2 linked regions of the Sus scrofa genome follow. The protein of the gene in region 2 purifies or fractionates together with the protein of the main gene of each other region. This does not show direct contact. Links are inferred from orthologs where the notes say so. Each region holds a gene or a part of one and is shown on either strand. Other genes may lie near its edges.

The links. The genes of interacting proteins can lie anywhere in the genome.
Region 1: the proteins of STK11 (region 2) and COPS8 purify together in Homo sapiens (affinity purification with mass spectrometry; 3 studies listed by BioGRID and IntAct, with this or other methods). This does not show direct contact. The link is inferred for Sus scrofa from reciprocal best matches to the Homo sapiens genes STK11 and COPS8.

What each region holds. Positions count from the first base shown.
Region 1 is NC_010457.5:136,825,831-136,831,841, forward strand, and holds the start of COPS8 (COP9 signalosome complex subunit 8), read left to right. Parts: upstream 1-2,391; 5' UTR 2,392-2,532; coding exon 2,533-2,610; intron 2,611-3,592; coding exon 3,593-3,663; intron 3,664-4,799; coding exon 4,800-4,848; intron 4,849-5,747; coding exon 5,748-5,880; intron 5,881-6,011. UniProt on the Homo sapiens protein: Component of the COP9 signalosome complex (CSN), a complex involved in various cellular and developmental processes.
Region 2 is NC_010444.4:77,228,534-77,233,232, reverse strand, and holds the end of STK11 (serine/threonine-protein kinase STK11), read left to right. Parts: exon of another isoform or gene 1-869; coding exon of another isoform or gene 870-901; exon of another isoform or gene 902-1,148; intron 1,149-1,234; coding exon 1,235-1,437; 3' UTR 1,438-1,453; intron 1,454-1,893; exon of another isoform or gene 1,894-2,108; intron 2,109-2,220; exon of another isoform or gene 2,221-2,302; 3' UTR 2,303-3,345; downstream 3,346-4,699. Other genes in the region: voltage-dependent calcium channel beta subunit-associated regulatory protein-like, read right to left, coding at 4,130-4,699. UniProt on the Homo sapiens protein: Tumor suppressor serine/threonine-protein kinase that controls the activity of AMP-activated protein kinase (AMPK) family members, thereby playing a role in various processes such as cell metabolism, cell polarity, apoptosis and DNA damage response.

The sequences.
Region 1 (6,011 bases), on a different chromosome or scaffold from region 2:
TCACTCTAGGGGGCTCAGCCGAGGGTGATGGGTTTGCGACCTACCTCCTCCAGCCTCCAGGGCCCATGCTTCCCTTTAGCGTGCTGGCCCACCCCCTCATCCCAAGTGCCGTGGGAAACACAACCTCCTGCCACCCCAGAGTCAGCCTCTCTGGGGACCAGAGCTTCCTCTGGGTGCTGCCTCTTCTGAGTGCTGCGTCCCCAAATCACGGCCTTCTTTCCCACACTGCCCTTTATCACACCCCTGCACTTCTCCTATGACTGAAAGTTTGGGGGGTAAAAAGATAAGGGAAGCATCATACAGCAACAACCGAAAACTGAGTATTGGCCGGCGCAGACCTGGAGATCCAGCAGCCCTTCACCGTCACTTGGAGGTCCCCATGTCTAAGCCAAGTCTCACCTTAGACCCTTTTACTCCATCCCTCCACTCCCAAGACTCTTCCTTCCCTCTGCAGCTCCCAGCCACCAGTTCCCAAGTCACTGTGCCTGTCTGTTAGTTTCTATTGATTATAATTTAAAAATAAAATTAAAAACAAACAAAAAGTAGAGTTTCGTCCTCAGAATAATACCCCAAGCTCTACCTCTCACCTGTGATTGTATTTCTAAAGCTTCACTAGGAGTTCCCATTGTGGCTCAGTGGTAACAAACCCAACTAATATCCATGAGGATGCGAGTTCTACCCTGGCCTCAGTCAGTGGGTCAAGGATCTGGTGTTGCCACAAGCTGAAGTATAGGTTGTAGACATGGCTTGGTATCCAGTGTTCTGGCTGTGGCCAGCTCTGTCCGATTCAACCCCTAGCCTGGGAACCTCCATATGCCACAGATGTGGCCCTATAAAGTAAAAAAAAAAAAAAAAAAAAAAAAAAAAAAAAAAAAAAAAAAAGAAATGAAATTTCAGAGTTCTGAAATAACTATCTTCCCAATGAAATCTTTCTTGGCCAGAAATAGGCTGGGAGCCATTATCACATGTTGAAAATTCAAAATCTTGTTCCTCAAACTTTGTCGAATGATCTCAGAATCATTTTACCCTTAGTCCCTTTTCTTTTCTTTTTTTGGACGAATGAAAGTGTGTTGCTTTCATTCCCCCAAAATATCTCGAGTTCTACCAGCTATTTGCACACCTTCCTATTTAAGGTTTTTGGCAATTCTTTGAGCAACTTTTGCAGTGCTTTTCTTATCTCTATGTTCTATCTGAAGCATAACTAAACACAACCATTTCCACATGGAAAGTGTTGATTCTACAAAAATAATCAGTGAAACCGTCACTGTCTTGGAATCCTAAATAATTTTATCTTCGAGTATGGGTTTGGCAAGTCCATAGGGAGGACAGACACTCAAAGAGATGATTGAGGTATGCGTTTTCTGCCCTCCACAGTGTTTAAAATACCCCATGAATGCAGAATTCCCAGTCGACCCCAAATGATAGGAATTCAGCAAGACCCAGCTTAAGTACAAACAAAGTGTTACGTCTACCAATTGTGTGATTTCTGTGATTCCACATGAGTTAAATGCACTTATATTCGCCTTTAAAATTGGCTTCGTATAATATAAAGACAGATGGTAAGATGCATGCTAATAATTGAAATTTTTGCTTTTTCCCTTTCTTAGAATATTAAATAGCAAACTTTAGAATGCTATGAAAAGTTGAAACACTGCGGAATAAGGGAAAAGCTTTAGATTCTATAGCCTTTACGGGTAATTTCCCTTCTGCTTTTTGAACTAGTGATGTGCGTTTTCAATTTGCTTTGGGCTCACAAATCCTGCGGCTGACCCTGCAGCAGGGCGGCCTAGGCAAGGGCAGCAAACCAAAGTATAAATAAATAACGCACCATACAACGTTCGTTAGGACTGCGCAGAAAACTGAGGAGGCCAGGATGGCTGGAGCAAGTCGGAGGGATCTGGGGATTTGATCTGTGAGCGATGCCAAAGACTCTGGATTGTTAGGGATTTGAGCAGAAGAATAACAAGACGACTTAGGTTTCAAAAAGCATCATTTTGGCTGCGGTGGCTGTCCGGGAGTAGCCTGGAGGGAGGCGGAGTGAGGTCCGGAGAGGACCGAGCTCAGGCCCTGTCGGGTGGTCCACGCTGGCGCAGCCGCTCTCGGATGGGGGGCCTGCAGGAGGGGAGCCCCCAGGAAGGACCGCACCGCCTGCACCGAAGCGGGAGGGCTGCTGAAGGAGGAGGCGGGGGGAGGAACCGAAAGCTGGGTTTTGAACTTTAAAATTTCCGTGGCCTCAGAGTAAAGGCAGCGAAGAGTCCGCAGACCGGCCCCAGTCCCCGCCCTCCCTGGCTCCGAAAGCCGCGTCCCCAGACGCCAGGCGAGTCCTCCAGGACATAGAGTGCACGGGCCAGAGCGGCAGCGACCCCGCCAGGCCGCAGCGACGTCTAATGACGCGCCGGAACCGATGATGCGCCTGCGCACGGGAGCTCGGCGGCGACGGCGGCTTTTACGTCATCGCGGGCGCGACGCCCGGAGGGACAAGTCTGGGGTCCAGCTAGAAGGGGAGGTACGGCGGCGGGACCGGCCGGGAAGATGCCAGTGGCGGTGATGGCGGAAAGTGCCTTTAATTTCAAAAAGTTGCTGGATCAGTGCGAGAACCAGGAGCTGGAGGTAGCCATTCGCCTTTCGGGGTCGCGCGTGGCCTTGTGCGGCGCCGGTCTCCAGGGTAACGGGGCCCGAGGCCCAGGGCCCGCCGGGCTGGGGCGGGCGCGGGGCCGGGCGTGTGGAGCCCGGGACGCCGGGCCTGCTCCTGGCTGAGCATCCAGGCCTCGCCTCCCCGAACTTGCTGGGGGCTTTTTGTTGTTTTGTCTTCAGCCAGTGAGCCCGAAAATGCTGTGCGTCTTTGCTCCTAACACTCTCCAATATGCTTCTCGGGTTAAAGATGTTTCCTCCCCGTCGTGGGGAGAGGTGAGGGAGTCTGTGTGCGCGTTGTAGCCTGTTCCTAACTCGGAAAGTCCTTAGTCTCATGTCGCGGAAGCTTGCCGTCTTAGCTTCATTAGGACTGGTGAAATTATTTCACGAAGGTCTTAACAGTAAGGGTTTTTTTTTTTTTTTTAATTTTCTTAGAAAGGCACTTACAAGCATGTACAGTATCAGTATAAAAAGTTAATTAACCCAAAGAGACTACTGCCAGAAGCAGCAGCTCACTAATAGACACTTAACAGATGATTTTCTGAATAAAGTTGAACAAGGAGAGAAACGTCTTCGTCATTCAGCTGTGACATTTCTCTCTTCGTTACTCACTTACCTAGATTTTCAACATACCTGGTGTAACGGGCAGAATCATCATACTTGAGGAATCTGTGGGAAATACTCTTGTAACAGTAAGGCCATTTAAATAAGAATTTGAGAACTGGGAAAGGGATCCCACTGAAATGTTCCCGTGCATATATAAACTCAGTGGCCCAGAGGGAGATAATTCATAGCTGGTGACAGATCTAAACTTATCACTCTGGCTTTTAGTGTGTGACACTCTCTTTTTCTCCATCTGTAAGGGTAAGTACTATGAAATATGCTTACTTTTTAGATGCTTTGAAAAATACAAAAGTATACAAATAAATGAGCTTTTTCTCTTTTGTTTTTGGCTTTAAAGGCTCCAGGAGGAATTGCTACACCTCCAGTGTATGGTCAGCTTCTAGCTTTATATCTGCTCCATAATGACATGTAAGTACTTTCTACCTAAAGCTAAGAGAAACAGCTTCCTGAAGAAATTATTCTTGCGTTGAAGTAGCATCACTAAAACATAGACAGAAGGAGCTTTACATTTTATTGTAATAGTATATTTATTTCATATACTGAATCATGGCTTAAATCGTGATTAGGCTGAGTTAAAATGCACTTCTTTTCTTATATCTTTCTTAAAATTTTTCAATCTGTTACGATGAACTACAGTGTCAGTAAATTCCTTTAAATCTGTTAGTCTCTTCTCTTTTGTTTTGTTATGAAATGTCTGTCTTTTATGACCTGTTTACTTAATGTCACATGTGATCGATAGACTAAGAGAAACCGAAAGGGAAAATTGAGAGAGCTAAGAGGAATTTGTTACTGTCATGTATGCGATTTCTTGAAAGGTTTTGTTTTTAATTATTCCTCATTCACGTTCATTGAAGACAAGTCAGTATAACTGCGCAAAAAAGAGTCCTTATGTTCTGAAAGCCATGATTACTGTTCAGTTTTGTTTTAAAATTCTTGTAAACCTTCTTATTTGGCATCTTTTAAACTAAACTGAGATTTTTATTACTCATCTATTGTATAAATTATGTTTCTTGTTTTATAATCATGTCATTATATGTTTGTTATCGTTCAAGATTCCAAACTCTTAAAAAAAAAAAAAAAAAAAAGAAACCAAAAAATCCTGCCTTGAAGGTGTGGTGGCTCTGTAGCCACTGGTAGGAGGAAGGGTCATGAGATGGAGAAAAGCACTGTGTACCTGTATACTGTCAGGGAACAGCAGTGCCTTGAAAGTGTATGAATCTGTTTATTTTTATATATGACTAAATTATTTAGGTAGTCCTCTTTAAGTCTTTGTACTGTAACCTTAATTTAAGATCTGGATTATTAATTTAAAAATTCACTAAAAATGGCAAAATGTTACTTTGGTAAAATATTTCATGTCTTTTTATCTGGGAAACCGCTCTCATTTCACCTGGACAAAGTCATGTACAACTAAATTTCACCCTGTTTAACGTAGAGTATTTCAGAGTATACTTGTGTGTGTTTGCAGTGGGATCTAGAATTTTAGACATTTACTAGGATGATTTTTCTAAATTGCTTCTTCTTTCTTGGGGGATATAAATTAGGAATAATGCAAGATACCTTTGGAAAAGAATACCACCCGCTATAAAGTCGGTAAGTACTCTTGTGATGAATCTTACTACTTTACTGTAGTAATGACATTCACTTAAAAAGCAGTTTCAGCGAGTTCCCCTTGTGGCTCAGCGGTCGCGTATCCGACCAGCATCCATGAGGGCACGGGTTTGATCCCTGGCCTTGCTCGGTGGGTTAAGGATCCAGCGCTGCCATGAGCTGTGACATGGGTCAAAGACGGGCTCGGATCCTGTGTGGCTGTAGCTGTGGTGTAGGCCGGCAGCTGCAGCTCTGATTCGTCCCCTAGCCTGGAACCTCCATAGGCCTCAGGTGTGCCCCCCAACCCCCCAAAAGCAGTGTCTTACGAATTCTCTTGTGACTCAGCATGGGAATCTGCGTCGTCACTGCGGCCACTCGGGTTGCTGCTGTGCGCAGCTTTGACCCCTGGCCCGGGAACTCGCCCATGTCGCATGTCGCGAGTGCAACCAGAAACCCCCAAAACAAAAAGCAGTCTCGTAAAAGTTTGTTTTCTTTTCCTTGTGGCTCACAGAAGTAGTTATTAAACTGGTAATAAAGTTTATGAACAGATCTATAAATTCCTCTGATGAGAAATTGTAATTTCTGTTGGATGTTATAGAAATCTGTATATCTGTAAATATAAATAAAAATCTTTTTAAAAAGTGTTTAAGGTAACCAATTCCTGGACTACTTCTGGACTATTTTTGGAATGCCTTCTTGTGCCTTCATTTTCTATTATAACAAAAATCCGTAGAAAATGTGCAAATAAATTTTACAGTACCATTCACAGCGTTTAAAGCCCTTTGACAGTGATTGGGGTGAAAAAGTAATTACACTTTTTAAATGCCGAGTTATCTTTTAAGATACAGCTGTTGTTATGTCTGCAGAGTGCATATTCTCAGAGGCAGTGATGTTTCTTGCAGGCAAATTCTGAACTTGGGGGGATTTGGTCAGTGGGACAGAGAATCTGGCAGAGGGATTTCCCTGGCGTCTACAGCACCATCAACGCCCACCAGTGGTCCGAGACGGTCCAGCCCATCATGGAAGCACTTAGAGGTAGTGTTTCTTTGTGGTCTAGAATTAAGTTAGGCTAGACCTCTCTCTCAAGTCCTGCCGCGTTGAAGTAAGTCAATGGTGTGTTTTTAAAAAAAAGTATGTTCTGCCAAGTGGATGAGGAAGTTTTCAGA
Region 2 (4,699 bases):
CTGGCCAGGCCACTTATGAGTCTGCGGACTCCTGGAGCCTCTGTTCCCTCAAGAGAATAGGATGGAGGAGACTGTCTGAGGCTCTAAGGCCAAGTGACACCGTGTAAGGACCCCACCAGTCCCCACACTGACCACTTGCTTCAGGTCTGTGCCAGAGGCTTGGGGCTGCCTTTCCTGGGTCGGGGAGGGCTTGTCCAGGAGTGACTCTCAGAGCCTGAGCCAGATGCCTGGCCCAGGAGTACTCCCCACCAGAAAGGGGAGAGCCCCGCACTGAGGTTAGGCGGCCACTTCTCTTTGACCTGCTTGTAGGTCAGCCAAGCTGTGCCAGGGCTAAGGCTCTTCCCACTCCGGTTCCAGTCATGTGGTCACATTCAGTGCCTGCTGCTCCTGCAGCCTCCTATATGCTGAGAGGAGGCTTCTCCCACTCACCCTCTCCCATCCTGAACTCTGAGTTCTGACCTGAAATGCTTTTTATGTGATGCCAGTAGGCTCCCAGCAAGTTCCAGAGGCCACCAAGTCAGGCTCTGGATGCCAGTGGCGGAGGTAGGGCTCTGTGTGGAGAAGAGAAGGGCTCAAAGCGGTTAAGGGCAGTCCCTGCCGATGTCCACATGAGAAGGCTGGGCAGCGCAGGCACATGGGCTCCCTGCACCCCTCCCTCTGCCCCATGCCTTGCCAGGAGCACATATCTGGGTGGGCAGCCCCAGGCCATTGGCCCTCAGATGCAATTGAGGGCTGTCTGCCTGCACAGTAGGGGTGGGACTCAGCAGGTGTTGTCTCTCCCTTTGTGCCTGGTGTGGAGAGCCAGGGTGGGCTGTTGTGGGAGAGAGGTCGGCACCCCAGCCCAAATGTACCCCCTTTGAGTCCCACAGGGTCCAGCAAGGTTTGGCCTTTGCACAGGTGAGAGAACAGAGGCTGGGGCGCAGGACCCTGTCCTTCACCATGTTCCCGCAGTGAAGGGTGAGCAGGACAGCCTGGAGCCTGCCCAAGTGCAGCCCATACCTGAACAGGCAGGTGAGCGTGGGCTGGGCCTGGGCCTGGCCCTGGCCAATTGGCTCTAAGACCAGCTCTCCCTCTGCCTGCATTAGGACCGTGATGGCAGGCCCTGGACAGGTCAGGTGGAGGAGGAGCCTGGGCCCCACTGGCTGGAGGTGACCTGGGCCTGGGCAGGTGGAGACACTGGGGGTGTGTTGGTCTGGGCCCCCCAGTCAGCACACACTCGCCCTCTCCCTCCTAGGACAGGTCCTGGAGGAGGAGGCAGGTCGGAGCGTACAGAGTCGGGGCCTGCCTAAGGCTGTATGCGTGAACGGCACCGAGTCAGTCCAGCTGAGTGCCAAGTCGAGAGCGGAGCGCCGGGCCAGCGCCACCTCCAACCCCACCCGCAAGGCCTGTTCGGCCAGCAGCAAGATCCGCCGGCTGTCAGCCTGCAAGCAGCAGTGAGGGTGGCTGCCTCCAGGTGGGACATGATGGGGACCAGCAGGACTGAGTTGGGGGCACACTGTGGGTACTGCCAGTACTTGGCTTATGTCACTGTCATGGCCACTGCCGACTATGGCCAGCTCTGCCCTTCACAGTCATCAGTCTGCTTATCACCACGGGGTCTGGGTTGGAGGTGGGGGAAGGTCACTTTTAGCGGGCTACAGGCCCTCAGTGGGGTTGGGGAGCCCATGTGCAGAAGAAGGGCCCCTTAAGATGACAGTCTGTCCTGCAAAACTGAGTGGCTCGCCCTTCCCCAGTGTGGGCTGCTCCCAGGACAGGGGGCTGCTGGCTTTGGAGGGGCTGTGTAGGGTGGGTGGGAGGTTGGGGGCTGGGAGGGGCCGTGGCTGTCATCTTGGTTGTTGCTGCCTGCTCTGCTTCCTTCTCCCACCTTTGTTTGCCCTGCCCCCATCCTGAAAGGCCCTAAAGGACTACAGGCCCCATGGCCTGCTTAGGATGTGAACAGCAGGGTGGGGGTCTGAGGCTGTAGCCTCTGTCCAGCCACATCCCCTCTCCCACGGAGCTGCCCTGGAAGTACTTCTCTGCCAGCTTCAGAACAGCCAGACACGGTAGAAACTGCTTTGGAGGGAAACCTGGTTCTGTGGAGAAAGGGCAGTGCTTAATCTCTCCAGGCAGTAAGTAATTCAGAGGGTGGTCCCTTGAGGCAGCGCAGCCCTCCCAGGCACTCCCAGCACTGTGTGACCTCCCAGCACTGTGTGACCAGGCCTTGGTTTCCCCAACCTACAGGGAGCCCACGTTGGGCCTGTTTTTTGGGATGCAGAGCCTATGTGTTGACCCAGAAGTGACCCACTTTCTGTCCTGGTCTCAGCCTATCTCCAGGAGCCCCAGCCAGGTCCTGCTCAGTCTTCCTGCCTACTGCTGGTCTGCTGCCCACCGCCCCAGGAAGGCCGACGCTGCACCCTTCGTGCTGACCGCCCCTTCAGAAGCCAGGGGGTCCTAGAGGGCTGTGGCTAGGGGCAGCAGAGACTGGAGCCCGTCCCTCCCCTGATGGCCGGTGGACACGATCTCCTGCTGACTGCAATCCTATGCTGAGCCCCCTCCCCCAGCCAGGGGAGGAGGGAGAGGGCCCGGTGTGGCCCCGAGCCAGCCTTTGCCATGCACTTTACGTTGAGACTACTGGTTCTCGCCCACCCTGACTCCTCTTTTTACTCTGCCACTCGTTAGCGCCTCCCACACCTGGTGATGTGTTCAAGCCAACCACAGCGGCAGCAGGATGGGCGTGACGACCAGGCCTGTCCACTGAGATGCATGCCTAGTGCCCAAGGGAGCCAGGCGGCTGCCTTGTTTTGTTGTTTTGGTTGGTTCCTGTTTCTTTTTTTCTTTTTTCTTTTTTTTTTTTTTAAGAAAAAATAAAACAGGTGGATTTGAGTTGTGGTCATGAGGGATGTTTGGGAATTGTGGGTGGCAGGATGTATTATCAAGTGGGTGATCAGAGTCTGAGCCTGGGGCCCTTTGTAGATCCTGTGGTGGAGGGGCTGGCCGGGGTCTGCAGGTCTTGCTGGTAGTGCCTGGTAGGGACATGGCCTTTGGCCATGTTGGATCTCTGTGCTGTCTTGGTGACCCAGCCTCCAGAAAGCTCCAGAGCCCATGGCTGCACAGTTCAGTGGCCTGGAGATCCTGATCCCTTTCCCCCCAAGGCCTCTGTGCTCTTGGATCCCATGAGAAAACTCAGAGCCAGCAAGAGTATGCAGTAAATATAATCAACCAGAAAACAAAACACAAACTCCATCACTGGATGGCACACTGACAGTGCGAAGCTTCGAAGGAAGGGACGGGGCAGGGCGACTCGGCCGCTGGCGAGGGCTGCCCCATCTTTTGGCAATAAATAAAGCTTGGGAAACTTGAAACCTTGATCGTTTGGATTTTGTGTCTGAAACAGTGGTGAGTCCTAGCGGCTCTTTGGATTGATGCAGTAGGGGCGTGCGGCCCACCCAACATGCAGAGGGCGGGCGTCGGGATGCAGACACTGGGAGGAGGGCTGGAGGGTGTATCTAGGGCTGGGGATGGCAGCAGCAGATGCGGTTATTGCTTGGAGGGGGCGCGGACTGCTGCGAGCACTCGCCGCGGTGAGGTAAACGGCTTCAAGGGGTTGGCGGCCGCGGTCTTGGGCCAACCTCCTAGCCCAGGGCGGATGCATTCTTCAAGGGTCCTCGGCACCCCGCAGTCACTGTGCTTGTGCCCTGGCGCGGACTCTGGCGCGCCTCGAGGCCCAATTGGTCCTGGGAGGGGTCTCTCTGCGCATGCGTCTAGCGCAGTTGCTGTGCATCGCCCCTCTAGGATGCAGGCGCTGCGCATGCGCTACCCATCGCCATGGGCCCGAGACGCGGCAGTGGTGTGTGCTACGCTCAGTCACCAGCTCGAGGTCGCTGTCCAGGACCAAGGGAAGCGGAACGTGGTCTTCAGGAGTCTGAAGATGAGAATCCGCCACACTCCCTCTAGTCGACCCAGCTAAATGCCCGGTATGAACTGTGTGCGTGCGCATCCTGGGGCGGCGCGGGGCGCCTGGGGCACTGCTTTGTGCGCGAGGCCCCCCAGTCCCAGCGCATGCGCACCAGGGCGTCGCGCCCCAGGTGTGTCCGGTGCCAAGGCCCCGCCCGTGCTGTATAAGCTGACGAGGTGGGCGCAGGACACAGACTTAGACGGGGCTGTGGTCGGGGGATGTGGGCGCGGCTGCGGCCAGCGCAGGGGCCACAGCGACAGGCTGGGCCAGGCGCGGCGGGAAGAGTCTGTCGTCGAGGCTGACTGCCAGCTTGTCCAGGAGAGCGCCCTGAGGCCCGGTGCACAGGCCAGAGCCTGGGCAGCCGCCGCCGGGCTCCTCCTCGATGACGGGGATGGCGAGGGCAGCTGGGTCCTCTCCTGCGCGGCCTTCTGGTGGGCAGTCGACGCTGTCCCCGCGGCGCAGGGGTGCGCGCGCAGGGCGGGGGGCGCCGGTTGGTGCCCCAGAGGGGGCTGGGGCCGCAGCTCGCGCACCAGGGTCGCTGTGTTGCCTACCCCGCTGCTGCCACTGCTTGCGCGTGTGGGGATGCACACGCGCGCGGTGGCGTGCTGCTGCAGACGGAGCATCATCGAAGTGCGGGTCATGGCGGAGGAACTCATGGAACAGTGCATCCGTCTTCTCGTCAATACTGTAGTCCCGGCGTGGGGCGCGGCGGGGCCAGGCACGCGGGCTGCGGGGTCGGGAGGGCACCTCTGGCATGGGCCCCTC